Linked DNA regions of Anolis sagrei. The protein of the gene in region 4 interacts with the protein of the main gene of each other region in a pairwise test. Links are inferred from orthologs where the notes say so. Each region holds a gene or a part of one and is shown on either strand. Other genes may lie near its edges.

The links.
Region 1: the proteins of FXR2 (region 4) and SYTL4 interact in binary tests that used the Homo sapiens proteins (3 or more experiments, as listed by UniProt). The two-hybrid records come from large-scale screens. The link is inferred for Anolis sagrei from reciprocal best matches to the Homo sapiens genes FXR2 and SYTL4.
Region 2: the proteins of FXR2 (region 4) and SRPK2 interact in binary tests that used the Homo sapiens proteins (3 or more experiments, as listed by UniProt). The link is inferred for Anolis sagrei from reciprocal best matches to the Homo sapiens genes FXR2 and SRPK2.
Region 3: the proteins of FXR2 (region 4) and LCP2 interact in binary tests that used the Homo sapiens proteins (3 or more experiments, as listed by UniProt). The two-hybrid records come from large-scale screens. The link is inferred for Anolis sagrei from reciprocal best matches to the Homo sapiens genes FXR2 and LCP2.

The regions. Positions count from the first base shown.
Region 1 is NC_090030.1:10,025,915-10,033,706, forward strand, and holds the start of SYTL4 (synaptotagmin-like protein 4), read right to left. Parts: upstream 3,003-7,792; 5' UTR 2,922-3,002; intron 1-2,921. UniProt on the Homo sapiens protein: Modulates exocytosis of dense-core granules and secretion of hormones in the pancreas and the pituitary. Interacts with vesicles containing negatively charged phospholipids in a Ca(2+)-independent manner.
Region 2 is NC_090025.1:83,987,869-83,995,881, forward strand, and holds the start of SRPK2 (SRSF protein kinase 2), read left to right. Parts: upstream 1-5,001; 5' UTR 5,002-5,096; coding exon 5,097-5,112; intron 5,113-5,237; coding exon 5,238-5,319; intron 5,320-8,013. UniProt on the Homo sapiens protein: Serine/arginine-rich protein-specific kinase which specifically phosphorylates its substrates at serine residues located in regions rich in arginine/serine dipeptides, known as RS domains and is involved in the phosphorylation of SR splicing factors and the regulation of splicing.
Region 3 is NC_090022.1:104,302,977-104,310,779, reverse strand, and holds the start of LCP2 (lymphocyte cytosolic protein 2), read right to left. Parts: upstream 3,012-7,803; 5' UTR 2,914-3,011; intron 1-2,913. UniProt on the Homo sapiens protein: Adapter protein primarily involved in signaling pathways within T-cells, as well as other immune cells such as platelets, mast cells, and natural killer (NK) cells.
Region 4 is NC_090026.1:3,122,260-3,130,231, reverse strand, and holds the start of FXR2 (RNA-binding protein FXR2), read right to left. Parts: upstream 3,004-7,972; 5' UTR 2,752-3,003; coding exon 2,701-2,751; intron 1-2,700. UniProt on the Homo sapiens protein: mRNA-binding protein that acts as a regulator of mRNAs translation and/or stability, and which is required for adult hippocampal neurogenesis. Specifically binds to AU-rich elements (AREs) in the 3'-UTR of target mRNAs.

The DNA.
Region 1 (7,792 bases), on a different chromosome or scaffold from region 4:
GAAACATCAGGAGAAATGCCTCTAGAACATGGCTATATAGCCCGGAAAAACCTACAACAACCTAATCATACTGTTCGACCTTTTTCGGCTCCTCTCAAATACACATTTTCTACTCCTATCTCATCCAGGGTTTTATCATTTTATCTTCTCCATTTGGCCTGCCATTTGTATTCAATTTTCTACTATACTATTTTGCTTTGTTCACTTTATTTTGCCACTCTATATACTTTATTGTGATGTGACTTTTGTTATGCTTTGCACTTTATTTTGCTGTATTGTATCTTTGGGCTTGGCCTGGTGTTAGCCATCCCGAGTCCCCTTTGGGGAGATGGTGGCAGGATATAAAGAAAGATTATTATTATTATTATTATTATTATTATTATTATTATTATTTTACTGGTACAAAAGTTCAGTATGTCACTTATTATTATTATTATTATTATTATTATTATTATTTCAGGACAGGGAAATAAAGCAGCAATAGGAAAGATTACCAGGCCAATTAGATTTAACGTGGATGACTAGGACAGTTTTAAACTGTGTATTTTAATATTTTGATAAATGTTTTTAATGTTTATGTATGTATATAAGAATGTGTTCCGGCATTGAATGTTTGCCGTATATATGCTGTGCTCCGCCCTGAGTCCCCTTTGGGGTGAGAAGGGTGGAATAAAAATATTTTAAATAAATAAATGAATAAATAAAATTATTATTATTATTTATTTATTTGAAGCCATTGTTCCATGTCCTAGTCTCCAGGACAGCAGAAAACAAGCTTGCTCCCTCCTCCCTATGATTTCCTCTCACATATTTATACATGGTCCTCATCGTGTCTCCTCTCAGCCTTCTCTTCTTCAGGCTAAACAGGCCATGCTCTTTAAGCCGCTCCTCATAGGACTTGTTCTCCAGACCCTGGATCATTTTAGCCACCCTCCTCTGGACACATTCCAGCTTGTCAACATCTCTTTTCAATAGATAGGCAGGAGCCTTTGGTGGTCCAGCGGGTTAAACCGCTGAGCTGCTGAACTTGTTGACCGAAAGATCGCCTAGTTTCCAACAGACCTCACAACCTCTGAGGATGCCTGCCATAGATGTGGGTGAAACGTCAGGAGAGAATGCTTCTGGAACATGCCAAACTCACAGCAACCCAATAATAATTTTGTTTGTTACCTGCCTCTCTCTGTGGAATAATTAAAACATGTAAACATTGCAAAACTTCTATAAATAATGGGCATGTTTCTGGAAAAGATACATATTAAAATGTATCCTATTAAAAGACAAGGGATACAACTTGGTTTACACATTCCAAAGTAATTTAGAAACAAATCCTGGTGAAATGAAAGAGTCTGAAATATAATACAATATAACATAATACAAGGCAGTTTCAGAAATAGCCGCTTTGAGTCCCCTTTGGGGAGATAAAGCGGATTATAAATAATAATAATAATAATAATAATAATAATAATAATAATAATAATACATTAGTTGTTGAAGGCTTCCATGTCTGGAATCACGGGGCTGCTGTGAGTTTTCCGAGCTGTATGGCCATGTTCCAGAAGCATTCTCTCCTGATGTTTCACCCACATCTATGGCAGGCATCCTCAGAGGTTGTGAGGTGTGTTCGAAACTAAGCAAATGAGGTTTATATACCTGTGAAATAATATCCAGGATAAGAGAAAGAACACTTGTCTGTTTGAGGCAAAGGTGAATGTTGCAATTGGCCACCTTGGTTAGCATTGAATGGCTTTGCAGCTTCAAAGACTGGGTGCTTCCTGCCTGGGGGAATCCTTTGTTGGCAGATGATTAGCTGGCCCTAATTGTTTCTTGTCTGGAATTCCCCCGTTTTTGAGTGTTGTTCTTTATTTACTGATATGATTTTAGAGTTTTAGGTATTAATGTTACAATTGGCCACCTTGATTAGCATTGAATGGCCTTGCAGCTTCAAAACCTGTCTGCTTCCTGCCTGGGGGAATCCTTCGTTGGGAGGCGTGAGCTGGCCCTAATTGTTTCTTGTCTGGAATTCCCCCGTTTTTGAGTGTTGTTATTTATTTACTGTTATGATTTTAGAGTTTTAGGTATTAATGTTACAATTGGCCACCTTGGTTAGCATTGAATGGCCTTGCAGCTTCAAAACCTGGCTGCTTCCTGCCTGGGGGAATCCTTTGTTGGGAGGTGTTAGCTGGCCTGAATTGTTTCTTGTCTGGAATTCTCCTGTTTTTGAGTGTCGTTCTTTATTTACTGTTATGATTTTAGAGTTTTAGGTATGAATGTTGCAATTGGCCACCTTGATTAGCATTGAATGGCCTTGCAGCTTCAAAACCTGTCTGCTTCCTGCCTGGGGGAATCCTTTGTTGGGAGGTGTTAGCTGGCCTTAAATGTTTCTTGTCTGGAATTCCCCCTTTTTAGTGTTATTCTTTATTTTCTGTTATGATTTTAGAGTTTTAGGTATGAATGCTGCAATTGGCCGCCTTGGTTAGCATTGAACGGCCTTGCAGCTTCCAAACCTGGCTGCTTCCTGCCTGGGGGAATCCTTCGTTGGGAGGTGTTAGCTGGCCCTGATTGTCTCATGCCTGGAATTCCCCATACAGCTTGGAAAACTCACAGCAACCCAATAATCAATTAGTTTGCAACCCTTTGATACAAGAGCCAACTGACCCAAAGCCGGGAGGATACTGGGATGAAAAGTGAAAGAAACTGGGAGATACTGGGATGGAAAACGAATCCAAAGACAGGCAGTTAAAAGCAGTATCACCCTGGATCAATTCTGCTGTGTAGATGCACCCTGGGTGAGCTTGGTGGCTTCAGAGGGACATAAAGTGAGGAAAGCACTCTGTGTATGCTCAGAGGCTGCGGGGAAGAGGCTTGGAAGAGGAAGAGGAGGCAAGAGCTTGCAGATGCAAAGGAAGGGAAAGAAAAAGTACCTGTCTCTCTGCTCCAGGCTGAGGGAGAAAGAGCCTCGTTGGCCCGGGAGGAGCCGCTCCCTTAAAGGGGCCGCACCCCTTTTCATGCCAGGCTCTTAAAGGGACAGCGCCCCGGCTGGGATGGCAGGGGGCGTGGCCTCACCTGGGAGGGGGCGTGGCCAGGGCGGCAGCAGGACCTCCCATCCTTACTAACAGCTTTGAAGTGCAGCTTCGTGAGGCCCAATACCTTGTGAAACTAAAAATCCCATGACCTAGGCAAGTAGTGGCAAAATGCATCAATTCTACAATGTGGATGCTATATTGGAAAGCATTGCAGCACCTACCTGTGCTGGCCAGGTAAGAGACTGCAGCCTCATCAAAGGGGAGGTCCTCACACATCCCTTGCCATACAGGCACAATAAATAAGAAGTTTTGCAGTACTTCCTTGCACTTCCAGCAAATTGGAGTATGCCTTACTCATACTAGCACAATAAAGGAGTTGTGCAGCACTTCTTTGCACTTCCAACATATTGGAGTATGTCTTACTCATACAGACATAATAAATTAGAAGTTTTGCAGCACTTTGCATTTCTAACACATTGGAGTATGTCTTACTCATACAGACACAATAAGAAGTTTTGCAGCACTTCTTTGCATTTCTAACACATTGGAGTATGTCTTACTCATACAGACATAATAAATTAGAAGTTTTGCAGCACTTTGCATTTCTAACACATTGGAGTATGTCTTACTCATACAGACACAATAAGAAGTTTTGCAGCACTTCTTTGCATTTCTAACACATTGGAGTATGTCTTACTCATACAGACATAATAAATTAGAAGTTTTGCAGCACTTTGCATTTCTAACACATTGGAGTATGTCTTACTCATACAGACACAATAAGAAGTTTTGCAGCACTTCTTTGCATTTCTAACACATTGGAGTATGTCTTACTCATACAGACACAATAAGAAGTTTTGCAGCACTTCTTTGCATTTCTAACACATTGGAGTATGTCTTACTCATACAGACATAATAAATTAGAAGTTTTGCAGCACTTCTTTGCATTTCTAACACATTGGAGTATGTCTTACTCATACAGACACAATAAATTAGAAGTTTTGCAGTACTTCTTTGCATTTCTAACACATTGGAGTATGTCTTACGCATTCAGACACAATACATTAGAAGTTTTGCAGTACTTCTTTGCATTTCTGGCTGCCGATTTGCTACCGGACCCAATTCAAGGTGCTGGTCTTGGCCTACAAAGCCCTAAACGGTTCCGGCCCAAAATACCTTTCGGACCGCATCTTGGCCTACGAGCCCACGAGGACCTTGAGATCGTCTGGGGAGGCCCTTCTCTCGATCCCGCCTGCGTCACAGGCACGGCTGGCGGGGACGAGGGAGAGGGCCTTCTCGGTGGTGGCCCCCCGGCTGTGGAACACTCTCCCGGCACACATCAGACAGGCGCCCTCCCTCATGTCCTTTCGAAAAAGCCTTAAGACCTGGCTGTTCGAGAGGGCATTTAATTAAGTGCTAAGCAACAACATTACGGTAATGAGAACTGGAATGGTATAAGGAAGATGAGACTGGCTATGATTCTACTAAGAGACGAAGCGGATTTTTATGTAGTTTGTATTTGTCGTATAGTTATATGTTGTTGATACTGGCCTTTGTAACTGTCTTTTTATGTGTACTGTACACCGCCATGAGTCGCCCGTAAGGGCTGAGAATGGCGGTTAATAAGTGCATCAAATAAATAAATAAATAAATAAATTTCTAACACATTGGAGTATGTCTTACTCATACAGACATAATAAATTAGAAGTTTTGCAGTACTTCTTTGCATTTCTAACACATTGGAGTATGTCTTACTCATACAGACACAATAAATTAGAAGTTTTGCAGTACTTCTTTGCACTTCCAACACATTGGAGTATGTCTTACTCATACAAACACAATAAATTAGAAGTTTTGCAGAACTTCTTTGCATTTCTAACACATTGGAGTATGTCTTACTCATACAGACATAATAAATTAGAAGTTTTGCGTACTTCTTTGCATTTCTAACACATTGGAGTATGTCTTACTCATACAGACATAATAAATTAGAAGTTTTGCGTACTTCTTTGCATTTCTAACACATTGGAGTATGTCTTACTCATACAGACACAATAAATTAGAAGTTTTGCAGCACTTCTTTGCATTTCTAACACATTGGAGTATGTCTTACTCATACAGACATAATAAATTAGAAGTTTTGCAGCACTTCTTTGCATTTCTAACACATTGGAGTATGTCTTACTCATACAGACACAATAAATTAGAAGTTTTGCAGCACTTCTTTGCATTTCTAACACATTGGAGTATGTCTTACTCATACAGACACAATAAATTAGAAGTTTTGCGTACTTCTTTGCATTTCTAACACATTGGAGTATGTCTTACTCATACAGACACAATAAATTAGAAGTTTTGCAGTACTTCTTTGCATTTCTAACACATTGGAGTATGTCTTACTCATACAGACACAATAAATTAGAAGTTTTGCGTACTTCTTTGCATTTCTAACACATTGGAGTATGTCTTACTCATACAGACACAATAAATTAGAAGTTTTGCAGTACTTCTTTGCACTTCCAACACATTGGAGTATGTCTTACTCATACAAACACAATAAATTAGAAGTTTTGCAGCACTTCTTTGCATTTCTAACACATTGGAGTATGTCTTACTCATACAGACACAATAAATTAGAAGTTTTGCAGCACTTCTTTGCATTTCTAACACATTGGAGTATGTCTTACTCATACAGACACAATAAATTAGAAGTTTTGCGTACTTCTTTGCATTTCTAACACATTGGAGTATGTCTTACTCATACAGACACAATAAATTAGAAGTTTTGCAGTACTTCTTTGCATTTCTAACACATTGGAGTATGTCTTACTCATACAGACACAATAAATTAGAAGTTTTGCGTACTTCTTTGCATTTCTAACACATTGGAGTATGTCTTACTCATACAGACACAATAAATTAGAAGTTTTGCAGTACTTCTTTGCACTTCCAACACATTGGAGTATGTCTTACTCATACAAACACAATAAATTAGAAGTTTTGCAGCACTTCTTTGCATTTCTAACACATTGGAGTATGTCTTCCTCATACAGACATAATAAATTAGAAGTTTTGCAGTACTTCTTTGCATTTCTAACACATTGGAGTATGTCTTACTCATACAGACACAATAAATTAGAAGTTTTGCAGCACTTCTTTGCATTTCTAACACATTGGAGTATGTCTTACTCATACAGACATAATAAATTAGAAGTTTTGCAGTACTTCTTTGCATTTCTAACACATTGGAGTATGCCTTACTCATACAGACACAATAAATTAGAAGTTTTGCAGCACTTCTTTGCATTTCTAACACATTGGAGTATGTCTTACTCATACAGACATAATAAATTAGAAGTTTTGCAGTACTTCTTTGCACTTCCAACACATTGGAGTATGCCTTACTCATACAGACACAATAAATTAGAAGTTTTGCAGCACGTCTTTGCATTTCTAACACATTGGAGTATGTCTTACTCATACAGACACAATAAATTAGAAGTTTTGCAGCACGTCTTTGCATTTCTAACACATTGGAGTATGCCTTACTCATACAGACACAATAAATTAGAAGTTTTGCAGTACTTTTTGCACTTCCAACACATTGGAGTATGTCTTACGCATTCAGACACAATAAATTAGAAGTTTTGCAGTACTTCTTTGCACTTCCAACACATTGGAGTATGTCTTACTCATACAGACACAATAAATTAGAGGTTTTGCAGTACTTCTTTGCACTTCCACCACATTGGAATATGTCTTACTCATACACAGGCACAATAAATTAGAGGTTTTGCAGTACTTCTTTGCACTTCCAACACATTGGAGTATGCCTTACTCATACAAACACAATAAATTAGAAGTTTTGCAGTACTTATTTGCACTTCCAACACATTGGAGTATGCCTTACTCATACAAACACAATAAATTAGAAGTTTTGCAGTACTTATTTGCACTTCCAACACATTGGAGTATGTCTTACGCATTCAGACACAATAAATTAGAAGTTTTGCCCCACTTCTTTGCAGTTCCAGCAAACTGAAGTATGAAGTTTGGTATTACTTTGTATTTCTGGCAAATTGGAGTATGTCTTACCCCTACGGGCACAATAAATGTTTTGCAATACTTCTTTGCAATTCTGGCAAACTGGAGTTATGTCTTACGCATACAGGCACAATAAAGAAGGTTTGCACTACTTATTTGCAGTTCTAGCAAAGTAGAGTATGTCTTACTCGTACACAATAAATAAGTTTTGCAGTAATTCTTTGCAGTTCTGGGAATTTGGTGTATGTTTCCGGCTGAGGTTTTAGGGCAGGAGATGCTAAGAAGGTTGAATGAAAAGTAATGCCTCCACCTTTGTAACTCCTATACAGATGGCAGTACTGGTATGCAGCAGGTACTGGCTTGTTCAGCAGACTCTCCTCTACAGTTCCATCGTGGTGGGAAGTTTGCTCTCCTTTAGGCTAATGGGGAGGAACAACAGGTGATCATATGAGGGTTGAATGAAAAGTAATGCCTCCACCTTCGTAACTCAACAGATGGCAGTACTGGTATGCGGCAGGTACTGGCTTGTTCAGTAGACTCTCCTCTACAATTCCATTTTGGCGGGAAGCCTTAGCATTGAATGGCTGTGTTGTTAAAGTGCAAAGTATGGAACCCTGCACAGACAGTCGGTTAATGCGACTTAATCAACGTGCAGTCATTGAATTCTTGACAGCAGAGGGTGTCTCCTCAACATCTTTAAACTTACTCACCCAATGACACACAGT
Region 2 (8,013 bases), on a different chromosome or scaffold from region 4:
AATCTCCTTTGTACAGAGAAAAAGTGGGGTATAAATAAACTCCCATATCAGACATAAGAAGCCCCCGGTGACGCAGTGGGTTAAACCACTGAGCTGCTAAGCTTGTTGACTGAAAGGTCGCAGGTTTGAATCTGGGGAGTGGCATGAACTTCCGCTATCAGCCCCAGCTTCTGCCAACCTAGCAGTTTGAAAACATGCAGATATGAGTAGATCAATAGGTACCGCTCCAGCTGGAAGGTAACGGTGCTCCATCCTGTCATGCTGGCCACATGATCTTGGAGTTGTCTACGGACAACGCTGGCTCTTCAGATTAGAAATGGAGATGAGCACCACACCTCAAAGTCGGACACGACTGGACTTAATGTCAGGGGGAAACCTTTACCTTTACCTTATCAGACATAAAGGCAATGGAGATGTTTATTGAAACTTGACAGCAATTCGAAATAATGTACTTTTGCCACGTCAGGTGCTTATTGGTGCAAGTTACGATCTACGCAATGTTTGGTGGGAGCACCAAACAATTCGCCTGCTGTTGCTGCTAATTGATTTACTGGTCTGGCAGGAAATTTAATAAACTGTCATTGCTCATTTTGTAGCTTGTAGTCATTTTCTGTATCCACCTCCTTTGGGTGCTTAAGGGAAGGAATGTGGACAAGGTCTGGGGTTGATGGTATTTAATAATTCTAATCCTATGAGTCAAAATTTCACAGTGGATCCCTGCTGAGGAAACAATGGGTGCTGAAACACCTTGATGGATTCCAGGCTTCTCCTCTTTCTCCTTCTCTTCCTCAGAAATACAAAAAAAATTAAAGTTTGGAGCTGCGGAAATAGCAGCAGTATCTTCTCAGGGAACAGACCCTTTCTCCCTGGCTCCCTCATGCACAGACTCTCTTTGCCACCCAGAGCCTCCCCGCCCCCCCCCCCCAACCTTCTTTGCTTCTGAGATCCTATTTTCCCCTGCTCAAGAGGTGCTTTGATTGCGTTTTTCCTGCATGGCAGAACTGAGTTGAACTGGATGGCCGCTTTGGTTTCTGCTATAATAATAATAATAATAATAATAATAATAATAATAATAATAGGGGGCAGAAGACAGTTCCATCTTGTCTCCTGCCTATATCATCAGTTGGGAGCCCCCCCCCCCCCCCAGCACCAACTGCTGCTCTGGCCAGAGTGAAGAGAGAAGTGGGCAGAAGACAGTTCTATCTTGTCTCTTGTGCTTTACTAATAATATAATAAATATAATATAATGTAATGTAATGTAATATATAATACTGATATTGTACTATGCTAATAATATATTGTATATATATATATATATATATCTTGTAAGCCGCTCTGAGTCCCCTTCGGGGTGAGAAGGGCGGCATATAAATGTTGTAAATAAATAAATAAAATTATTATTATTACAAAGGCTGGATGTCCATCTGTTGGGGATGCTTTGATTGTGCTTTTACTGTATGGCAGAAGAACTGGATGGCCTGTGGGGTCTTCAACTGAAATACTGTTAAGTTTATGTTGGCTAAAATTATTCTTAATTTTAAACATATTGTTCTTTCTTTCTTTTTTGCACTAAAAATTAGATATGTACAGGGTGCATAGGGATTTCTTCACATTTTTACCAATTAGTTCACACAAATACTCTCCACCCACCTGCCACTGGCCTGGCCCATGTGTTAGATTTTAAAATGCAATGCGGCCCCTATGTCCACAAGTTTGCTCATGTTGAATATATATACATAATATATATAATAAAATATAAACATTTCCTGGGGCTCCATGAAAAATTTGCTTCAAAAAGGGCTCAGTGGCTGAAAAGGTTTTGAAAACCCCTGCTCTAAGGTGACCCCATTGGCAAGATTTGCCCAGAAAAGGTTTGTCATTATCTTCCCCTGAGGCTGAGAGAATGTGACTTTGCTTTAATGGTGATGCCTGTTTGCTGTGTACTGTATATTTAAATGTGTAAGGCTCTAGAAATAGCACAAAACTGCACTTATTAAAAAAACACACACTAACAATTATGACAAACAATCCAAATTCTGAATCCAAAATGCTCCAAAATGCACACTGACTTGAGAAATTGCATTCAGGGGGGAAGACTCCCTGTGTTGTTTATGGCAGCAGAAAAGCGATAAAGAATTGTATTTGTTTACAGCCAGAAGCAACCCCATTAGGCTTCTTCTATACTACCATATAATTCAGATTATCCAGTTTGTGGGGCCCCAGAAATTGAGGATGTACCCCATTATTTGTTTTCCTGCTCTTTGTACTGTGAGCCAAGAGATAAAATCCTGGGACCTACGTATTCTGTATCTTCTGCAATCCAACATTGACTCAGAAGAGATTTTCTACCTTTTGGCTGACACTAAGCCAGTGGTTACTCACAAAATGTCTCTTTTTGCATTGGCAGCATTGAAAATCCAGGTTAAGATCAATTTCTAATATTGCAATTGACTGTTTTGGGGATGCTTTTACCTAATCATAGTGTGGTTGTTTACATCCAAAGTGTTTCTTGCATAAGTTTTAATAATACTGAATTTTGGGTTGTTGTAGGTTTTTTCGGGCTGTATGCCATGGTCTAGAGGCATTCTCTCCTGACGTTTTGCCTGCATGTATGGAAACCATCCTCAGAGGTAGTGAGGTCTGTTGGAACTAGGGAAAAGGGTTTATATATCTGTGGAATGACCAGGGTGGGACAAAGGACTCTTGTCTGCTGGAGCTAGGTGTGAATGTTTCAACTGACCACCTTGATTAGCATTTGATTGCCTGGCAGTGCCTGGAGCAAACTTTTGTTGAGAGGCAATTAGATGTCCCTGCCTGCTTCCTGTCTGTTGTTGTGCTGTTGCAATTTTAGAGTTTTTTAATACTGGTAGCCAGATTTTGTTCATTTTCATGGTTTCCTCCTTTCTGTTGAAATTTTCCACATGCTTGTGGATTTCAATGGCTTCTCTGTGTAGTCTGACATGGTGGTTGTGAGAGTGGTCCAGCACTTCTGTGTTCTCAAATAATATGCTATGTCCAGGTTGGTTCAACAGGTGCTCTGCTATGGCTGACTTCTCTGGTTGAAGTAGTCTGCAGTGCCTTTCATGTTCCTTGATTCGTGTTTGGGCGATGCTGCATTTGGTGGTCCCTATATAGACTTCTAATCAAGGAGCCTTCTAATCAAGGTGAAAGAAGAAAGCGCAAAAGCTGGGTTGCAGCTAAACATAAAAAAAAACCAAGATTATGGTAACAAGAATGATTGACAACTGGAAAATAGAGGGAGAAATTGTGGAGGCTGTGATAGACTTTGTATTTCTAGGTGCAAAGATTACTGCAGATGCAGACTGTGGCCAGGAAATCAGAAGATGCTTACTTCTTGGGAGGAGAGCAATGACCAATCTCGATAAAATAGTAAAGAGTAGAAACACCACACTGGCAACAAAGATCCGCATAGTCAAAGCCATGGTATTCCCTGTAGTAACCTATGGATGTGAGAGCTGGATCTTAGGGAAGGATGAGCGAAGGAAGATAGATGCTTTTGAGCTGTGGTGTTGGAGGAAAGTGCTGAGAGTGCCTTGGACTGTGAGAAGATCCAACCAGTCCATCCTCCAGGAAATAAAGCCCGACTGCTCATTGGAGGGAAGGATACTAGAGACAAAGTTGAAGTACTTTGGCCACATCATGAGGAGACAGCAAAGCCTAGAGAAGACAATTATGCTGGGGAAAGTGGAAGGTAAAAGGAAGAGGGGCCGACCAAGGGCAAGATGGATGGATGGCATCCTTGAAGTGACTGGACTGACCTTTATTTATTTATTTATTTATTTACGACATTTATATGCCGCCCTTCTCACCCCGAAGGGGACTCAGAGCGGCTTACAAGGTATATATACATACAATATATTATATTATTAGCATAATACAATATCAGTTTTAAATATTGCTATATTATACTATACCAATTATATTGTAATATTATTAGTAATATTGTTGTTGTTGTTCATTCGTTCAGTCGTCTCCGACTCTTCGTGACCTCATGGATCAGCCCACGCCAGAGCTCTCTGTATTTATATGTAATATAAATATATAATTATAATATCATGTTATTATTAGTATTATATTGCATTACATTATATTATAAATTTGAAGGAGCTGGGGGTGGTGACGGCTGACAGGGAGCTCTGGCGTGGGCTGGTTCATGAGGCCACGAAGAGTTGGAGGCGACTGAACGAGTGAACAACATATAGACTTGTCCACCGCTGCATGGTACACAGTAGACTCCTGCAGAAGTGAGAGGATCCCTCTTGTCCTTTGCTGAATGGAGCATTTGTTGCAACTGACACGATAAATAAATCCACACAGCCATATAGCCCAGAATAAAGGTAAAGGTAAAGGTAGTCCCTTGACATTAAGTCCAGTCATGTCTGACTCTGGGGTGTGGTGCTCATCTCCATTCCTAAGCTGAAGAGCCAGCGTTGTCCGTAGACACCTCCAAGGTCATGTGGCCGGCATGACTGCACGGAGCACCGCTACCTTCCTGCCGGAGTGGTACCTATTGATCTACTCACATTTGCATGTTTTCGAACTGCTAGGTTGGCAGAAGCTAGGGCTGACAGCGGAAGCTCACGCCGCTCCCCGGAATCGAACCTGTGACCTTTCGATCAACAAGCTCAGCAACTCAGTGCTTTAACCCACTGCGCCACCGGGGGCTCCCATAGCCCAGAATATCAAGGTAGAAAATCCCACAATATCTGCTTTGAACTGGACTATCTGAGTCCACACTGCGATGTATTCCCGTTCAATGATGACAATGTGGGCTTTTATTCAGCAGTGTGGAAGGGACGAGCGTTGCTGTGAGTTTTTCAGGCTGCCAGAAAAAACTCACAGCAGCCCAGTTCTGCAAAAGTTGGGATTCCCTCAGAGGAGGTCCAGTCCGCCATCTTGGCCCAGCCGCCTCTTGGTTGCTTAGCGACGACCCCCCCTCCTGCTTCGGCGCCGCCTCGCGCTTGGGCTGGGATGAAGAGCGCATGCGCGCTTGCTAACGGGGCGGCTGCCGCTCCTGCTGCTCTTCGGTGGGCGCCCGGCGTTCCCTCACGGAGTCGGCGAGGAGGAGGAGGAGGATGAGCTCCCGGAAAGGTAGCCGAAGCGGGGCCCGGGAGGGAGGCGAGGGGGCCGGGGAAGGAGCGCGGAGAAGGGGCGCGGAAGGAGCAGCAGCCTTCAACCTCTCTCTCTCTCTCTCCTCTCCTTCCCTTGTGGCACAGTGCTGGCCCTGCAGGCCCGGAGGCGGCGCGCCAAACACCCGGCGGCGCCCGGCAGGAAGGAGAAGCAGCAGCCCCACAAAAAGTGAGTGCCTCCCGCCCGGGGAAAGAAGGAAGGAAGGAAAGAAGGAAGGGAGAAGGGGAAGCGGGCGTCTCTCTCTGGGTCGCGAAGGCATCCCAGCACAAACTTCCCTGAGCATCCCTCGTCCCGAAGGGCCCAGGGCGGCGGGGAAGACCGGTCACGGTCCCAGGCTGGATGTGGCGGGACTACACCTCCCATCCTCCTTTCTCAGCCCGCCCCCGACCCTGAGAGTATCTCAGCCCCCAGAATAAAACCCACACTACCTTGCCATAGATGCAGGCGAAACGTCAGGAGAGAATGCCTCTAGGACATGGCCATATTGCCCCAGAAAACCTACATCAACCCAGTGATTCCGGCCATGAAAGCCTTCGACAATACATAAAACCCACATTATCTGCTTTGAACTTGGATATAGGGCAGTGTGGACTCAGATAATCCATACCAAGCATATATTGATTTTCTGTCGTGATATTCTGAGTCATATGGCTGTGGAAGGGCCCTTAAGGGTCTGTATACCAAGTTTGGTCCAGATAGGAGCCCCCGGTGGCGCAGTGGGTTAAACCCCTTTGCCGGCAGGACTGCCCTTGAAGGCTGTTCGGAAACTTCAACTGGTCCAGCGAGCGGCAGCCAGATTGCTCACGACATACAGGGACCACACCACCCCCCTGCTGTGTCAGCTCCACTGGTTGCTGGTTCAGTTCCGAGCACAATTCAAGGTGCTGGTTTTGACCTACAAAACCCTGTACGGTTCCGGTCCAGTGTATCTGTCTGAACGTATCTCCCTCTACGTCCCACCCCGGAGTCTGAGATCATCTGGGGAGGCCCTGCTCTCGACCCCACCGCTATCACAAGTGAGGTTGGTGGGGACGAGGACCAGGGCCTTCTCAGTAGTGGCCCCTCACCTGTGGAACTCACTCCCGGGGGAAATTAGGGCATCAACATCCCTCCTCTCCTTCAGGAGGAAGGTAAAGACGTGGTTGTGGGACCAGGCCTTCGGGCAATCTGACAACTAGATATGGACAACCAGATGGATAGGACTGACAGGATTGACAATTGTGGAATTGGAAACTGGACTATGAGATTGCGAAATGCTGACCGTCAATGAGGAGAAATGGTTTGTATTGGTTTTATTGCTTTTACTGGTTTTATGGTTGTTTTCGCCTTGCAAGAATTGTTGTTTTCTGTTAATGGATGTTATTTTGTCTTATTGTTGTTATATGATGTGGGCATCAAATTGTGCCTTGCTTTTGTAAGCCGCCCTGAGTCCCCTTTGGGGTGAGAAGGGCGGGGTAGAAGCAACCGAAATAAATAAATAAATAAAACCAACAGGTCACAGGTTCGAATCCGGGGAGAGGCAGATGAGCTCCCTCTATCAGCTCCAACTCCTCATGCGGGGACATGAGAGAAGCCTCCCACAAGGATGATAAAAACATCAAATCATCCGGGCGTCCTTGGCCAATTCTCTCACACCAGGAGTCACTCCTGACACGACAAAAAAAAAAAAAAAAAAAGGTCCAGATTAATTGACAGGGCACAATGGATGTGCGTGGACTACAATTCCCATCACCCTCTATCCGGCCTCCCCTTGAAACAACCTACCAGTATCAGGCTTTTGCAGAATGATGGCTGAGATCGGTTATTCACCACAATATACGGACTGAATTGGACATGATTTTATCATGACAAATGGCTTTTATGTATTTTATCCTATATGTATTTGTTAATTCACTGTTGATGCATGATGTTTTAGATCAGGGGTCCTCAAACTTTTTAAACAGAGGGCCAGGTCATAATCCCTCAAACTGTTGGAGGGCCAGATTACAATTTGAAAAAAAACCTCATGAATGAATTCCTATGCACACTGCACATATCTTATTTGTAGCGCAAAAAAACACTGAAAAACAATACAATAATTAAAATGAAGAACCATTTTAACAAATATAAACTTATTAGTATTTCAATAGGAAGTGTGGGCCTGCTTTTGGCTGATGAGATAGGGTAGTAGTAGTAGTAGTTGTTGTTGTTGTTGTGTGCTTTCAAGTCATTTCAGACTTGGGTTGACCCTGAACGAGGGCCGGGTAAATGACCTTGGAGGGTCGTATCTGGCCCCCGGGCCTTAGTTTGAGGACCCCTGTTTTAGATTTTTACTGTTAGCATTGAATTTTTGCTGTCAGCCGGTCTGAGTCCCTCTACGGAGGTAGAGAAGATCAGGATATAAAAGTTGTAAATAAATAAATAATAAATAAATATAAATTGGATAATGAAGAGTCTGTGTATCAAGTTTGGTCCAGATCCATCAAGCCAGCTAGGCACTGTTGTGTTATATACAAACATACATACATACATACATATATATATATATATATAAAAATGTAATGTTCATTTGTGAGATTAACATAAGTCAAAAACCACTGGACAAATTGACATGAAATTTGGACACAAGACCATCACTCATAAAACTCTGAAAAACACATCAGAAGAGACTTAAAAAGCAACCCCCCAAAAAAACAAAAAAAAAAACCCAAAATACATAAAAATGCATGTGCATAACCACATAAATACACATATACACACAGATATACACATACATACACACACAAACGTTTGGCAGGGGATAGCTTTTATATATCTATATCTATCTATCTATCTATCTATCTATATATATATACACACACGCACACACACACACACACATAC
Region 3 (7,803 bases), on a different chromosome or scaffold from region 4:
CAGAGCAGCTCAATCCCACAGTTGCAAAAAAAGATGGTTGATAATGGAGAGGAGGAAATGATATAGTTAGGTAAGGCTATTTTCTGCACAAGATTTGAAAGAAAGCTGGTGGTCAACACTTTCAGAAGCCAGTACACTAGAGCAAAATGGTGAAGTCCCTTAGCTGGTAGAAGGGGGACAGCACCAGCCTGCCAGGACTTTGGGTTTCTGTTTTTAAAAAATCACTAGAAAGATAAAAGCAACCAATATGAACCACCAGTAAGGGAGAAAAAAGTAGAAAATATATAGAAATTGAACAGTTCGTTCAAATATATGATCACTTGTTTTCCAATGTGCATTGTATATAGAACTTTTACATGGAAATAGGGTACAGACCACACACGCACACACAGAAATGCTGAGAAAAATTTATTTGAAACAGACTTTTAAACTGGGTCTGAACTTACATCACGAATTCAGGTATGCCAGATGTATTACAAATAATTGTGCCTTATCATATATTCTTAAAGCATAACTGGCTTACATAAACTTATGCATATCCATAGAAAAGTGTCATCTATATGAACACCAGGGAAATTTAATTCCAGGGGAATGGATACAGTAGGGATAAGAAACTGTTCTGAGTGTGTTCCTGGGATTGACCCACACATGACATGACATCACTTCTTGTTTGACATTGGGCTATTGGTGGAGCAGGGGGGTAAAATAAGCAAACTGTGATGTTTAGAAAGTATCACTAAAGAAAATTGGCCAGGGACAGGATTTGACTAACAACAAATGTACTAGAAAGAAGTAGGATTATTTGGAGAATGGTTAAATATCTGCCAGTCTCACTCTTGCTTCTCTCTGTGTGCACTGTGTGAATTCAGCCGTTGCACTGTTCTCTGGTAATGTGGCTCACAAGTGAAAACAATGCAGCCTTTTTCAGATAATAGAAAGATTTTGTAAAAATAGAAAAAGCTTAAAAGCATGCTTCCCAAGTGTTGGGAACCCTAATAATAATCCATTTTTAAGCAATCAAGTCTCCTTAATGAAAATTAGGTGGGATTATTTTGATAGACTATCGGTGTGCTTAGTTTTTGCCTTCACTTACAAGGAAAGAGACTGGAGTATATCCTTTGAAGCAATCTGATCTAATTGGGTTGACACATCTTTCAAAGGTTGACTCAAGCAACCAAAAGAATTATGGCTTACATCTTTTCAAATACAAACATTGAGCTGGAAGGCGTTGCAGAGGAGATAATCTCCAATTCCCCAGGCAGTGCAGGAACTGTAACTAGACCATTTCCAGCATCACTTGTCCAGCCTCTTTTTGAAGATGTAAAGTGAAACTGATTCCATTACCTTTCTAGGAAATTGATTCCATTGCCAAATTTTGTTCCAATGTTTAATCAAAATAGATAGTCCTGTAGCATTGGGACCTTTTCACATGGCCCTTTCGGACCTTGTCATTGCACCAGCAATTGCCAGTTAAAGGGAAGGTGTGCAGGGTGGCATGTGGCACTCTGTGCACCCTCCCCCCTCCCCTCATCACATCCCCTCATCAGATGATAGAAAAGGTAGCAACACACATTGCTCCGCTGCTCTTTCTGCTATCACATGGCAAAAAGGGGAGGAAAGTGCAGGTAGTTCAGTTGGAGCTATGCAAACTACACTTTCCTCCCCAGAGTGGAGAAAAAAAGCACCTTTAGGTGTTTCTCCGTGCATCATGTTATGGTGCATGGCAGGCCCCATCCTTGCCATGATTAAAAGTGGCAAAACAGGGCAAAATCATCCTATCCTCTGGGACACTAGAGAACAAACTTGATCCCTCCTTTCTGTGGGTGCCCTTTTAATATTAAAATGATGCAATCACTCCATCTTGTCTTTTACTCCATCTGAATGAAAATTGGAAATTAGTCAAAAAACAAAACTATTGGGAGAGAATGTGCTGATCAAATGAAAACAAACTGAATGAAGAAACATCAAATGTTTTTCTATGGCATACTGCAGAAAAGAGGCATTTCCAAATGTGGTAAGCAAATATCTTAAAAGGATGCTGGAATGGGATTATTAGTAAAGCCAGGCATTTTTAATGTATCTTCACCATCAATTACAGTCTGGTTCCTTGTAAGATATGATTAATTGAGATTGCTTTGATTATTTTGCTATGTTTTGTTTGGATTGTGTTATTTATGCCTTTTCTGTTAACTGTAATTACAAAAATGACTTAAGGTCTATAAACTGTATGACTATAATTTGCTTTTGCTTTTTTTTTTTTAAAAGCAAAATACAATTGTTTTACTTACATGGTTTCTTTTTATTCCAAATAAACATAGAACTCATGTAATTCTGTAGGGAAAGAAATTAAAGCACACTCTCTATATTACCACAAGAGTGCAGCCAAACTCAATTTTTCACATATACATTTGGGATTTGTTCACAACCTTTTCTAGGTGGAGGTTAGGATGAAAATGTGCAAAAGCAATGCAATGTTAATATAAAACAAAAATACTACTGCTTCCAAAAGCTAGGACAAAACAAATTCAAGGAAGTACTTCAAAGAATTGAGAACTGCAAGGAGAAGACTGTTCTCCATTTCCACCCTTGTACAGGCTTTTTCAAATGTTATAATGCTCCTGGTCATATCAGCTGTGGAATTCTACAAACTATAATGTTTTAAATTTTAATTTTACAAAACTCTATTCATACACCTTCTAAAATATGAATTAATGATTGGGAAGCAGCAATAGTGGGGGTTCACATCTGTGGAATATCTGCCAGAAATAAGGCCAGTGGCACCATAGATAGTGCTTGTTTGCATTGCACAGAAGGAGGCACCATAAATCCCTTTCCAACACCTTTTACCATGACAGCCCTATGATAAAACAATGAAGAAGGAAACAAGAGATAGTGCTAGAAAATTATACTCACAGCTTGGAAGGCACTCAACTAACTTCTGGAATTATCAACTTTAAAGAGCGCTGTGGTTAATGATGCAACTGGACTCAAGTCAGAAAGATTTTCTGTTAACTGATGTGCTAAGAAGTGAAAGGAAATTCCAAAACTGCACAACACATATTATAGGAGTATGAAATGTGGGAAACGTGAATCAGCAGCAGCTAGACATAGTAAAACAAGAAATGAAAGATATAAACATTGCGATACTTGGGATGAGTGAGCAAAAGTGGGCAGGAATTGGACATTTTACATCAGATAATTGCATAGCTTTACTCAGAAAATGGAAATATAAGACAAAATTGTTATTATTAATTTATTTACTTCATTTCTATCTTGCTTTTTTCATCCCTCGGGGGACCCAGAGCACTATACAGCAGTCATCTAGGCAAAAATTCAATGCCTCATTATACAAACTATATAAAACATAACATAAAATCACTAGCCACAATAGACATATAAATACAATGTAAAACATAATAACCCCACACACAATTAACTGCTTCATTTCTAACTGTGGTGTGATAAGATGTTAAACTGCATTTCTGTCACTCGTCAAACTTGCACAGTGGTGTTTCTCAAGTCTCTTGGTCAAGTAGCAGCATTACAGTCTATCATTATAATAGCAACATCACGAGACACCCTACTAGGCCCTCAACTTCCCCTGTCATGATCTTAAGATCTTCTTTGGCTCTCTTGGATAGTGCTGTGTGACTGGGCCCCCAGCAACATCATCCTTTTATCCCCCAGCAGGTGTTTCTGCTGGGCCTTGCTTCAGCCAGGCAGTCAGGGCCTGAGTCTGTAAGGAGCCAGTCACCAGGAACTCAGGTCAAAGGCAGCCTGCAGTAAACAGACACTGCCTCTTCCTCCAAGCTCCCTGCTGCTGATGTTCTTTGGCTCTCTTGGATGGTGCTGTGTCATGGGGTGAAATGCATAGTGAGAAGAGATGCAGCAAAAGTTGTCAAAGAATATAATGCAAAGTATGACCAAATAGTATCAATACAATTTCAGGAAAACCTGAATTGATATGATTTAAATATAATCCAAGTTTGTGTTCCATCTTCAGATGCTGAAAAAGAAATTTAAAAGAATGTGTACTAGAATCCAGAAAGAAATTGACTACACACCTAAACAGGATTTGTTGTTAAGCATAGATGCTTGGGATGAAAAAGTAGGCTTCAGAGCAGAATAAAAAAAATGTTAGTGTTCAATTTGGCATCACATATACTACAACTGAAAGACAAGGCAGCAAAAGATTGTGGGGAAAACTGGCAAATACAAGATGACTAAACGGAGACTATTGCACTTTGGACACAATGTGTGAAGACATGTCTCACTAGAAAAGACAGAGCTGGTTGATGAGAGAGAAGGCAATAGCAAAAGATAAAGACTGCATTCCAGGTGAAGAGGCTCAGCCAAGGAAGTCATAGCCCTCAGTCTGAAAGCTCTGAGTAGGGCTGCTGGTGATAGGGTGACTTGAGGGTTTCTCATTTATAGGGTCACCATAACTTGAACTTGAGTCAATGTCAGTTAACAACAAGGTACTGGCATAGTGTAACTCTGAAATCAATATGCCTGACTTACTTTGGGATAACCTTCTGAAGACATGAATTGTCATCTGTAGCTTAGGCCTCAGGTCACTTCCATAGAAAGCAATGCAACACTTTGTTTTTTTAGCTTGTGAAATTGTGCAACACTGTTATTAAGCATAGGATTTAGACATGTTTACTTGAAGATATACCTAGATGAAACTAATTAGACTTGTTTCCCAGAAGACAGGGTTAGAAGTGGGTTGAGGTTTGTAACTTAGATAAACAATTGTACGAAGCCATTTTAAATAGCTAGGATTTAATTCCAAGTTATGCATTTCAAAGTAGAATTTGTAAAAAAAATAGACTACAACATTTACAATTTCCAAGCAGACATGCTGAAAGATGTATTACCTAAAAAACAAACAAACAGACAAAACAAGAAATGTGCAGACCATGTTAGGTTTTATGAGAGACTAGAAAGATCAGCTTTGTCACTTTGAAAGTACAAACTGTCAGATATCTCCTTGAGATACAGGGGAAGGAGGAATAGGAATAGGAATAATAATAATTAATAATAATAATAATAAGGTTGCAAAAAGAAGACTTATCTCTATTTCTATAGCAGCAATGTTTTATAACTACATTTGTTCTAGTAAATGGCTAAGAAATGTAACCAAATGAATATGTTGTTTTCTAGTTTATGCCCCTGGTTTTTATTTTACTTGAAACATACAACAAATGAACAATAAGATAGAACTAAACTAATTTCAGTATTATAAAAGTTTCAAATTATACTCAATAAAATACATTTAAAAGTCAAAAATTATTTAAATACAGTTGCATTTAAATATAGCACTATTTAGCTCAAACTTTAAAAAAAATTGTATTAAAAACCTGTCAAAATATTTAAAAAAGTTTTCCACCTGTTAATGGAAAAACAACAAGAGAGGAGTCTAGGGACAGTCAGTGAAAAGGCCCTTTGTGCTTGTGATTCAAGGAAGTGTCAGACTTGATGATATCAGGGCTTATGCAGGCTCATATAGGGAGGCACCTCACGCCAGGCATTTGAGGAAGTAGGCTTTGCCTACAAGCTTCATTCTTTCAGTTTCATCTATGCTTACAATCGTGCCATCACCACTCAAGCAGGGAGCTTTGAAATGGCTGAACAGAAGCCCTCTTAATCCTTAGGTGCTCTTGTGGTCTATTACAGGGAAAACCAGCTGATGCCTAATCCATCTAAAATGCAGATGTGTGCTTTTCATTATAAGAAGAGACAAGCATCTTAAGCTCCGAGGATTACTTGGGAAGGAATCCCACTGGAGCATTGCAGCACACCAAAATACCTGGGCTACAAAGTGGAGTCCACGACATGCGAGTGCGGAGAAGAGGAAACCACAGACCACTTATAGCAATGCAGTCTGAGTCCTGCCACATGCACAATGGAGGACCATCTTACAGCGACATCAGAGGTACAAGTATTATCAGTACACTTCTGACACAATCAATAAATGAAAATTCTTTTAGTTATACTCTACAAGTAGTCTTTGTAGATTGATATTCCAGACTAACATTGTTGAATGTGGAGATACAGTCTGATAAATAGCCTAGACCTGAGCCCCATAGGACTTTATAGGTCATAACCAGCTTTTTGAATTGTGCCCAGAAACAAACTGGCAGCCAGTGGAGTTGTTGTAATGGGAAAAGTATGGTACCCGTAGCCTGCTCCAGTTAACATGCTGCAGCTCTTTGAATTAGCAAAAGTTTCCAAGCACTCTTCAAGGGCTGCCCACATACATGTTACAGAGTCCAAATGGAGTGTAACTAAGGAATGTAGCACTATAGTCAGATTAGGTAGCTCAAGAAATTAGCTTAGTGGGTGTACAAATGTGAAAGCACTTCTGGCCACCACAGAAATGGGTCTCCAGATTCAAAACTGAATCCAAAAGCGTCCCCCAAATTGCAAACTTGTGTCTCTCTTCAGTGGGAGTGTAACTCCATTTAACACAGATTGAATTCCTATTCCTTGATCTGCCTTTGATTGTCTTGTCAAGATTTCTCCAAGTCAATTACTGGATTAGACTCAAGGTCACCTGTTTGAATTAAGGTGGAAAGGAGTAATAGAAGAGGGTGCCATCTGCATAGTGATGACACTACACTCCAAAACCAGAAGACTTCTCCCAGCAGTTTCATGAATATTCTTAGATAGCCTGAGGGAGAAAACAGAACCTTGAGAAAACCTGCAAGCCAAGAGGCAGGTGTCTGTGAACAGGATTCAGTCAACACCACCAGGAAGGATTGGAGCTACTATAAAAAGTAACTTCAAATTCCATTCCAGTGAGGTGGCCCAGAATTATACTATGACCAATGTTATTGAAAACCACTGAGACATCCAGCAGAACTATTTGAGATGCACACCCTCATCCAGTTCCTAGCCTAGACCACCCATCAAATTGCAGAAAAAGAAATTCCACTTAAACATTTGAAAAAAAATGTCCTGATTGTTAGAGTTGTATGACAGTACAATACACTGCCTTAGAGTGTGGTGGGGTCTCCTTCTCTTGAGGTTTTTAAACAGAGGATGGATGGCCATCAGTTGGGAAAATTTTGATCATGTCTTCTGTAAGATGGGCAATTGAACTGAATGGCCCTTGGGATCATCTCCTGTATGAATCTAGGTAAGAAATCCTTGAGTCTGTCAGGCAGAAGGACAAGCCCTCATCCATATGTACCTCAAGTGACTCATCCAAAGAGGTGACTCCTTTTTTGTGTTAATTCCTTTGGCAGCAGCCCACCCCCTCAAGAGACCTGCTTTTATAACCAGACTCACAATAAGTCAGTTCTGTAAAGAGCAAAGTACCAAAATACAACAAAGGCCCAAAATAGCAGCAACAAACAGTCACTTAGAGACTCCAGATTGCCTCTGTGGTCCTTTCTCTCTTGTTTGTACTGGAGAATAGAGGCTTCTAGCCAAAGCCAAAGGCAGTCATCAATCCAGCATGGGGACAGAAGTCTACTTGTTTCTTGATATTCTACATTTGCACACGCATAGCCTGTGCCTTCTTAAGAGACACATGATTTGCAAAAAATATAGAAAAAAAGACATGTTATACAGTGGAACCGCTACTTAAGAGCATTTTGAGTTAAGAGCAGTTGTTTGTCCTAGGTTTCACTTTGACATAAGAATAGCATTTTGAGTTAAGGTCTAGCAGCAGAGGGAGCACAAGTAGAATCATATGATCATAGAATCAGAGTTGGAAGGGACCTCATGGGCCATCCAATCCAACCCCCTGCCAAGAAGCAGGAAAATTGTATTCAAAGCACCCCCGACAGATGG
Region 4 (7,972 bases):
TATGCACACTGCACATATCTTATTTGTAGTGCAAAAATCATTTTAAAACAATACAATAATTAAAATGAAGAACAATTTTAACAAATATAATCTTATTAGTATTTCAATGCGAAGTGTGGGCCTGCTTTTGGCTGATGAGATAGGATAGTTGTTGTTGCGTGCTTTCAAGTCAAATCAAATCATTTATTTCGGTCACTGACTAGCACAGGAAATAAGAGTCACATTTTCATACAAACTTGGTATGTTTGGTACATTAAAAATATAAATATAACTACTGAAGCACAATATGGGTGAGGGAGCGGAAAAGAAGGGGAAACAGGGTAAAAACATGCAATGCCCAGATCCATCACCAAATTGTAGATTCAAAGAAGAAGATTACTGGACACACAGTTAACATTTGGGACTAACGTCCTTGCAGACGGCCAATTCTCTCACAACAGGACACTCCTGACACGACCAAAAAAAAAAAATCCCTGATGGATTTTGTATGCTTTGCAACATTGTAGGTTGTAGCTGAATTAATATCTGCAAGTAGCATGGAGGTATAAAATTGTCCTGAACGGCGTGGGTGCTTGTATAACAGAGGTAAGATAAGTCTGGCATGGATATCCTTGTAGAACGGGCACTTTCAAGTCGTTTCAGACTTAGGTTGACCCTGGGTGAGGGCCGGGTAAATTACCTTGGGGGGCCATATCCAGGCCCCCGGGCCATAGTTTGAGGATGCCTGATTTAAGCCAATGGGATTTTGGCCTGCATTAATAGGAGCATGGTGTCTAGGTCCAGGGAAGTCATGCTACCCCTCTATTCTGCTCTGGTTAGACCACACCTGGAATATTGTCTCCAATTCTGGGCACCACAATTCAAGAGAGATATTGACAAGCTGGAATGTGTCCAGAGGAGGGCGACTAAAATGATCAAGGGTCTGGAGAACAAGCCCTATGAGGAGCGGCTTAAGGAGCTGGGCACGTTTAGCCTGAAGAAGAGAAGGCTGAGAGGAGACATGATAGCCATGTATAAATATTTGAGAGGAAGCCACAGGGAGGAGGGAGCAAGCTTGTTTTCTGCTTCCCTGGAGACTAGGACGCAGAACAATGGCTTCAAACTACAAGAGAGGAGATTCCATCTGAACATGAGGAAGAACTTCCTGACTGTGAGAGCCGTTCAGCAGTGGAACTCTCTGCCCCGGAGTGTGGTGGAAGCTCCTTCCTTGGAAGCTTTTAAACAGAGGCTGGATGGCCATCTGTCAGGGGTGATTTGAATGCAATATTCCTGCTTCTTGGCAGAATGGGGTTGGACTGGATGGCCCAGGAGGTCTCTTCCAACTCTTTGATTTTATGATTCTATAGGTAAACTTTGGAACTTCTAGGTGTTTTGAACTTCAACTCCTATAATTCCGAACAGCCTTTGACTTCAACTCCCATAATTCAGCCTATTGGCTGTAAGGAATTGTGGGAGTTGAAGTCCAAAACACCCTGGCCATCTTCCAACTTAAAAGTCCGTCTCTTTGAATTGTTTTGCCCAGAACGGTGTTATCCCAAGCAAAAGAGTGGGATTGCTAGGCCTTGTTCTCTTGTTTCCTCTTAATCAGGCATGGGCAAACTTGGGGCCTCCCTCCAAGTGTTTTGGGACTTCAACTCCCACAATTCCTGGCTTCAGGCCCCTTCCTTTTCCCAAAACACCTGGAGGGAGGCCAGGGAGAAAAGGAAAGGGCCTGAGGCCAGGAATTGTGGGAGTTGAAGTCCCAAAACATCTGGAGGGAGGCCAGAGGGGAAAGGAAAGGGCCTGAGGATAGAAATTGTGGGAGTTGAAGTCCCAAAACACCTGAAGGGAGGCCAGGGGGAAAAGGAAAGGGTTTGAGGCCAGGAATGGTGGGAGTTGAAGTCCCAAAACACCTGGAGGGAGGCCAGGGGGGAAAGGAAAGGGTTTGAGGCCAAGAATTGTGGGAATTGAAGTCCCAAAACACCTGGAGGGAGGCCAGGGGGAAAGGAAAGGGTTTGAGGCCAGGAATGGTGGGAGTTGAAGTCCCAAAACACCTGGAGGGAGGCCAGGGGGAAAAGGAAAGGGCCTGAGGCCAGGAATTGTGGGAGTTGAAGTCCCAAAACACCTGGAGGGAGGCCAGGGGGGAAAGGAAAGGGTTTGAGGCCAGGATTTGTGGGAGTTGAAGTCCCAAAACACCTGGAGGGAGGCCAGGGGGAAAGGAAAGGGTTTGAGGCCAGGAATGGTGGGAGTTGAAGTCCCAAAACACCTGGAGGGAGGCCAGGGGGGAAAGGAAAGGGTTTGAGGCCAGGAATGGTGGGAGTTGAAGTCCCAAAACACCTGGAGTGAGGCCAGGGGGAAAAGGAAAGGGTTTGAGGCCAGGAATTGTGGGGGTTGAAGTCACAAAACACCTGGAGGGTGGGCCCAAATTTGCCCATGCCTCCTTTGATGCAATCTATAGCTTGATTCCCATTCAGCTTGAGGCCTACAAAGCCTTCGAGGTCCCTTTCTTCCCCAACAAGCCTCCCTGCCTCCTTTGAACTCCTCAGAGGTATGTTTGTGACCTTTCCACCCAAAGCCCTGGACTCCAACTCCCAGAATCCTCGAGGGGCCTAGGCCTCCTGGGAGTTGGAGAGAGTTGGGAGGCTAGGCCGCATCTCCATGGCAACCGCGGGGGCCCCGCCCATGCCCCGTCTCCTTGGCAACGCTCTGCGGCCTACTCACCTTATAGAAGGCCCCGTTGGAGCCGCGCACTTCCACGGAGAGGCCCTCCATGGGGCCCGAAGGCGACGCCGGGGAGGAAGAGGCCGCCAAGGGGGAAGGCGGGGGGATTGGGGCCGGAGGGCGAGGCCCGGCTTCCTCCCCCGGGTCCGCCACCGTGACCGGTGCCTTCAGGCCGGAGCCTCCCCCACTCTGGCCTGCCGCCTCCCTTCCCTCGCCTCCGCCAGCCGGAGAGTCCGTCCTCCCCTCACAGAGCCAGCTTGAGAATGCGCATGCATGGCCCCGCCCCTCCGTCCGCGCATGCGTCGAGCCGGAAGACGCTTGCCTTCTTTTTCCCCCTTCAGGCCACGCCTACTCCATTCGGCCCCGCCCCCTTTCTCGTCAGCGTGAGCCAATGAGAGGCAGTCATTCCGCGAAGGAGGCGGGGCTTAGCCTTGTTTCAGCTCCTCCCACTCCCTTGTTTCTTCTCATACAACCAATAGGGAAGCCGTCCTCCAACATGTCAATCATAGGAAATGTGAGCCAATGAGAGGCGCTCATTCTGCCAAGGAAGTGGGGCTTAGCCTTATTTCAGCTCCTCCCACTCCCTTGTTTCTTCTCATACAACCAATAGGGACGCCGTCCTCCAACATGTCAATCATAGGAAATGTGAGCCAATGAGAGACGCTCATTCCGCCAAGGAGGCGGGGCTTAGCCTTGTTTCAGCTCCTCCCACTCCCTTGTTTCTCCTCACGTACCCATACAACCAATAGGGACGCCGTCCTCCAACATGTCAATCATCAAAGAGGCGGGGCTTACCCTTTCTTAGACTCCTCCCACTCCCTTGTTTCTCTTCACGCCTCCTCTTTCTCCCCCGCTAACAACCAATAGAGAAGCCTTCCTCCAACATGTCAATCATAGTTCTCTCTAGGAAATGTGAGCCAATAAGAGGCGCTCATTCCGCCAAGGAGGCGGGGCTTAGCCTTATTTCAGCTCCTCCCATTCCCTTGTTTCTCCTCACGCACGCATACAACCAATAGGGACGCCGTCCTCCAACATGTCAATCATAGGAAATATAAACCAACGAGAGGCGCTCATTCCGCCAAGGAGGCGGGGCTTAGCCTTATTTCAGCTCCTCCCACTCCCTTGTTTCTTCTCACGTACCCATACAACCAATAGGAACGCCGGCCTCCAAAGTGTCAATCACAGTTCTCTCTAGGAAATGTGAGCCAATGAGAGGCACTGATTCCGCCAAGGAGGCGGGGCTTACCCTTATTTCAGCTCCTCCCACTCCCTTGTTTCTCCTCACGCACGCAAAGAACCAATAGGGAAGCCGTCCTCCAACATGTCAATCATCAAAGAGGCGGGGCTTGCCATAATTTCAGCTCCTCCCACTCCCTTGTTTCTCCTCACGTACCCATACAACCAATAGGGACGCCGTCCTCCAGCATGTCAATCATGGTTCTCTCTAGGAAATGTGAGCCAATGGGAGGCGCTCATTCCGCCAAAGAGGCGGGGCTTTCCCTTATTTAGGCTCCTCCCACTCCCTTGTTTCTCCTCACGCCCTCTCTCTCTCCCCCGCTAACAACCAATAGAGATGCCTTCCCCCATCATGTCAATCACAGTTCTTTCTAGGCGATGTGAGCCAATGAGAGGCACTGAATCTGCCAAAGAGGCGGGGCTTGCCCTTATTTAGGCTCCTCCCACTCCCTTGTTTCTCCTCACGCCCTCTCTCTCTCCAACGCTAACAACCAATAGAGATGCCTTCCCCCATCATGTCAATCACAGGTCTTTCTAGGCGATGTGAGCCAATGAGAGGCACTGAATCTGCCAAAGAGGCGGGGCTTGCCCTTATTTAGGCTCCTCCCACTCCCTTGTGTCTCCTCCCCTTCTCTCTCCCCCGCTAACAACCAATAGGAACGCCTTCTTCCAACATGCCAATCATAGTCGAGGTTTTTTTTTTTTTTACCCCCACCCCGCTCTTAAAGGCGCAGGCGCAGAAGGGGGACCGACCAATGGTGAAAGTACTCCTGGCTCCTTTGCAACCAATCCTGACTCGACTTCTTTCAGCCCCTCCCATAGGGCTTCTGGACGCCCCGCCCTCTTTTTTTCCATCCTCAAAGGGTCGTAATTTTGGAGGAGCCCCGCCCCCGTCATTGAAAGCACTAATGGCATGAAAAGCCCCGCCCACAAATCGGGCCTTGCTCGGTCTTGATTGGCCAGTCGGTCTGAATTGCTAAGGCGGTTATTTATGAGGAGAAACAAGTGGCCTCCCCTGAGGATTGGGGGCGGGGCCAGGATTCCTCTGGTTGTGACCCCGCCTACTTTATTGAATGGACCAATCAAAGACGCCAGCCCGCCTCTCCTTGCTTCACTTTCCCTTATTATCCGCCAAAAGGGGGCGGGGCTTCTTCCTTTAGAGTTGCGGGTTCGAGTCCCGCCTGGGCTGAATTTGAATTCTAAATTTAATAGAACCCAAATTTAATAGAAGCAAAAAAATAGGGTGTTTTGGTACCCACTTCCTTCTTATGTTTATTTATTTATTTAAAAACACACATAATTTATTTACAATTAGAATCAAAATGTCTATTTCTCATGAGAGGACATCTGCACCTCAGTTTTATGCCACATTAACCTATGGGATTTGTATATCTGGAACTCCAGCACCAGAAACACCAACTTCTTCATAAAACTATAATTCCCAGGATTCCACAGAAATGTGGGGCCATGACAGTTAAAGGTGTTGAAGGAGGCTTCAAGGGTCTCTGAGTGAAATTAAGTAAGGGGCTTTGAATGAAATTAAGAGAGACAAACCCTTCTCTGTAGAAAAATAGCAGTATGGAATAAAATGTTTTTAAGAAACAAGATGTGATAGGATGCGTTGTGGTTAACTTCAAAGGTTGTTTTTGAAGCGCAGAGGCCGCATGTATAAGTAGGTACTTTCCATCAAAAGGTCAAGAGAGGGGGCTGGAAAGAGACTACTTTCCATGACAAAAAATTGTTCTTGTTTACTTGAGGTTATATATTTGGTGGTCAAAAGCCAAGGGGGACGGCAGTCACTTGAAGGGTAACATTTGCGCATGTTGCCTGGCTGTCCGTCTTCTTCATGAAGAAATCAAAAATAAAACCTTGGTTTTTTTTTATCTTTCATTGGGAATGTCTCCTTCCTTTCATGCTCCCGCGACGTGGACCTAAGAAGACCCAATTTAGGGTCTCTAACTGTCACAAAACTGGTACAACTGTGCAGTGCAGATACATCCATTCTCACTCCTGTTTTCTTTCAGAGTGTTCAGGCTGAACATCAACATTTAGTGCATTCTAATTGACTTTCATTTTGGAACACAAGAAGCATTTGACGAGGACTCAACACACAGAGAAACCATTTTAAAAGGCTCTCAAATTAAAAGACAACAAGAAGCAGAATTGTGGGAAAGACCGAAGTTGTGCTTTGTTTGATACTAAAAAATACCAGCTATGGCCTTTCGTAAATGGTTCAAATTTCCTCAGACGGTTTGACATCAAGATGGATGACTGAGGGAGACAAAATGGCTGCCAGTTGGCTGTTCCATGTCAAAGACGGCTCATTATTACCCTGCAATAATTAAACGACAACAGAATTGTGGAAAAGACCGAAGTTGTGCTTCGTTTGATACTAAAAAATACCAGCTATGGCCTTTTGTAAATGGTTCAAATTCCCTCAGACGGTTTGACATCAAGATGGATGACTGAGGGAGACAAAATGGCCGCCAGTTGGATGTTCCATGTCAAAGACGGCTCATATTTACCTCGCAATAATTAAACGACAACAGAATTGTGGAAAAGACCGAAGTTGTGCTTCGTTTGATACTAAAAAATACCAGCTATGGCCTTTCGTAAATGGTTCAAGTTCCCTCAGGCTGTTTGACATCAAGATGGCTGACTGAGGGAGACAAAATGGCCACTGGTTGGCTGCACCATGTCAAAGACGGCTCATTATTACCTCTCATTTCGCTACCAATAAGCCATCATGTCTAGAATCTTTATTCTGGGTGAAATCAAGAGGCAGTGGGGGGATTCTTTCTTTTAAAAATATTAGTTTTGGGCCATTTCATAAACAGTCCAGTTCCCCTCAGGAAGTGTGAAATCAAGATGGCTGACAGAAGGAGACAAAATGGCCACCATTACCTCATATTAAGTCACTATTACCTCGTATTAAGTCACTATGAAGACATTTTTTGTCATTATTTTGGCTGAATCCAAGAGCAAATTCTTGTGATTTTAAAACATATATATTAGTTATGATCATTTCATAAACGGCCCAGTTCCTTTCAGGCAATTTGACATCAAGTTGGCTGACTGAGGTAGACAAAATGGCCGCCGGTTGACTGTGCCATGACAGAGGCGGCTCATTATAACCTCATAGTAAAGGTAAAAGTTGTCCCCTGAAATTAAGTCCAGTTGTGTCTGACTCTGGGACTGTGGTGCTCATCTCTATTTCTAAGCCAAAGAGCCAGCGTTGTCCGTAGACACCTCCAAGGTCATGCGGCCAGTCTAACTGCATGGAGCGCCTCACATTAAACAACAATTAAGCCGTTTTCATGTAATTATTTTGGCTGAAACCAAGAGCAAATTCTTGTGATTAATGACCACTTCACAAATGGCCCAGTTCCCTTCATACAGTTTGACGTCAAGATGGCTGAGTGAGGAAGACAAAATGGCCACTGGTTGACTTCACCATGATAGAAAAGGATCATTATTACCTCATATTAAGCCACAATTGAGTCATTTTCATGTAATTATTTTGGCTGAAACCAAGAGTAAATTCTTGTGAATATATATATATATATATAATGACCACTTCATAAATGGCCCAGTTCCCTTCACACAGTTTGATGTCAAGATGGCTGAGTGAGGAAGACAAAATGGCCACTGATTGACTTTGCCATGACAGAAACGGATCATTATTGCCTCATATTAAGCCACAGTTCAGTCATTTTCATTTAATTATTTTGGCTGAAACCAAGAGCAAATACTTGTGATATATATATATAATGGCCACTTCATAAATGGCCCAGTTCCCTTCACACAGTTTGACATCAAGATGGCTGAGTGAGGAAGACAAAATGGCCGCTTGGTGACAGAAATGGATCATTATTACCTCATATTAAGTCATAATTAATTCATTTTCATTTAATTATTTTGACTGAAACCAAGAGCAAATTCTTGTGATTATATGTAATGACCACATCATAAATGGTCCAGTTCCCTTCATGACGTCCCATCTTGACGTCCCTTTGACGTCAAGATGGCCGAATGA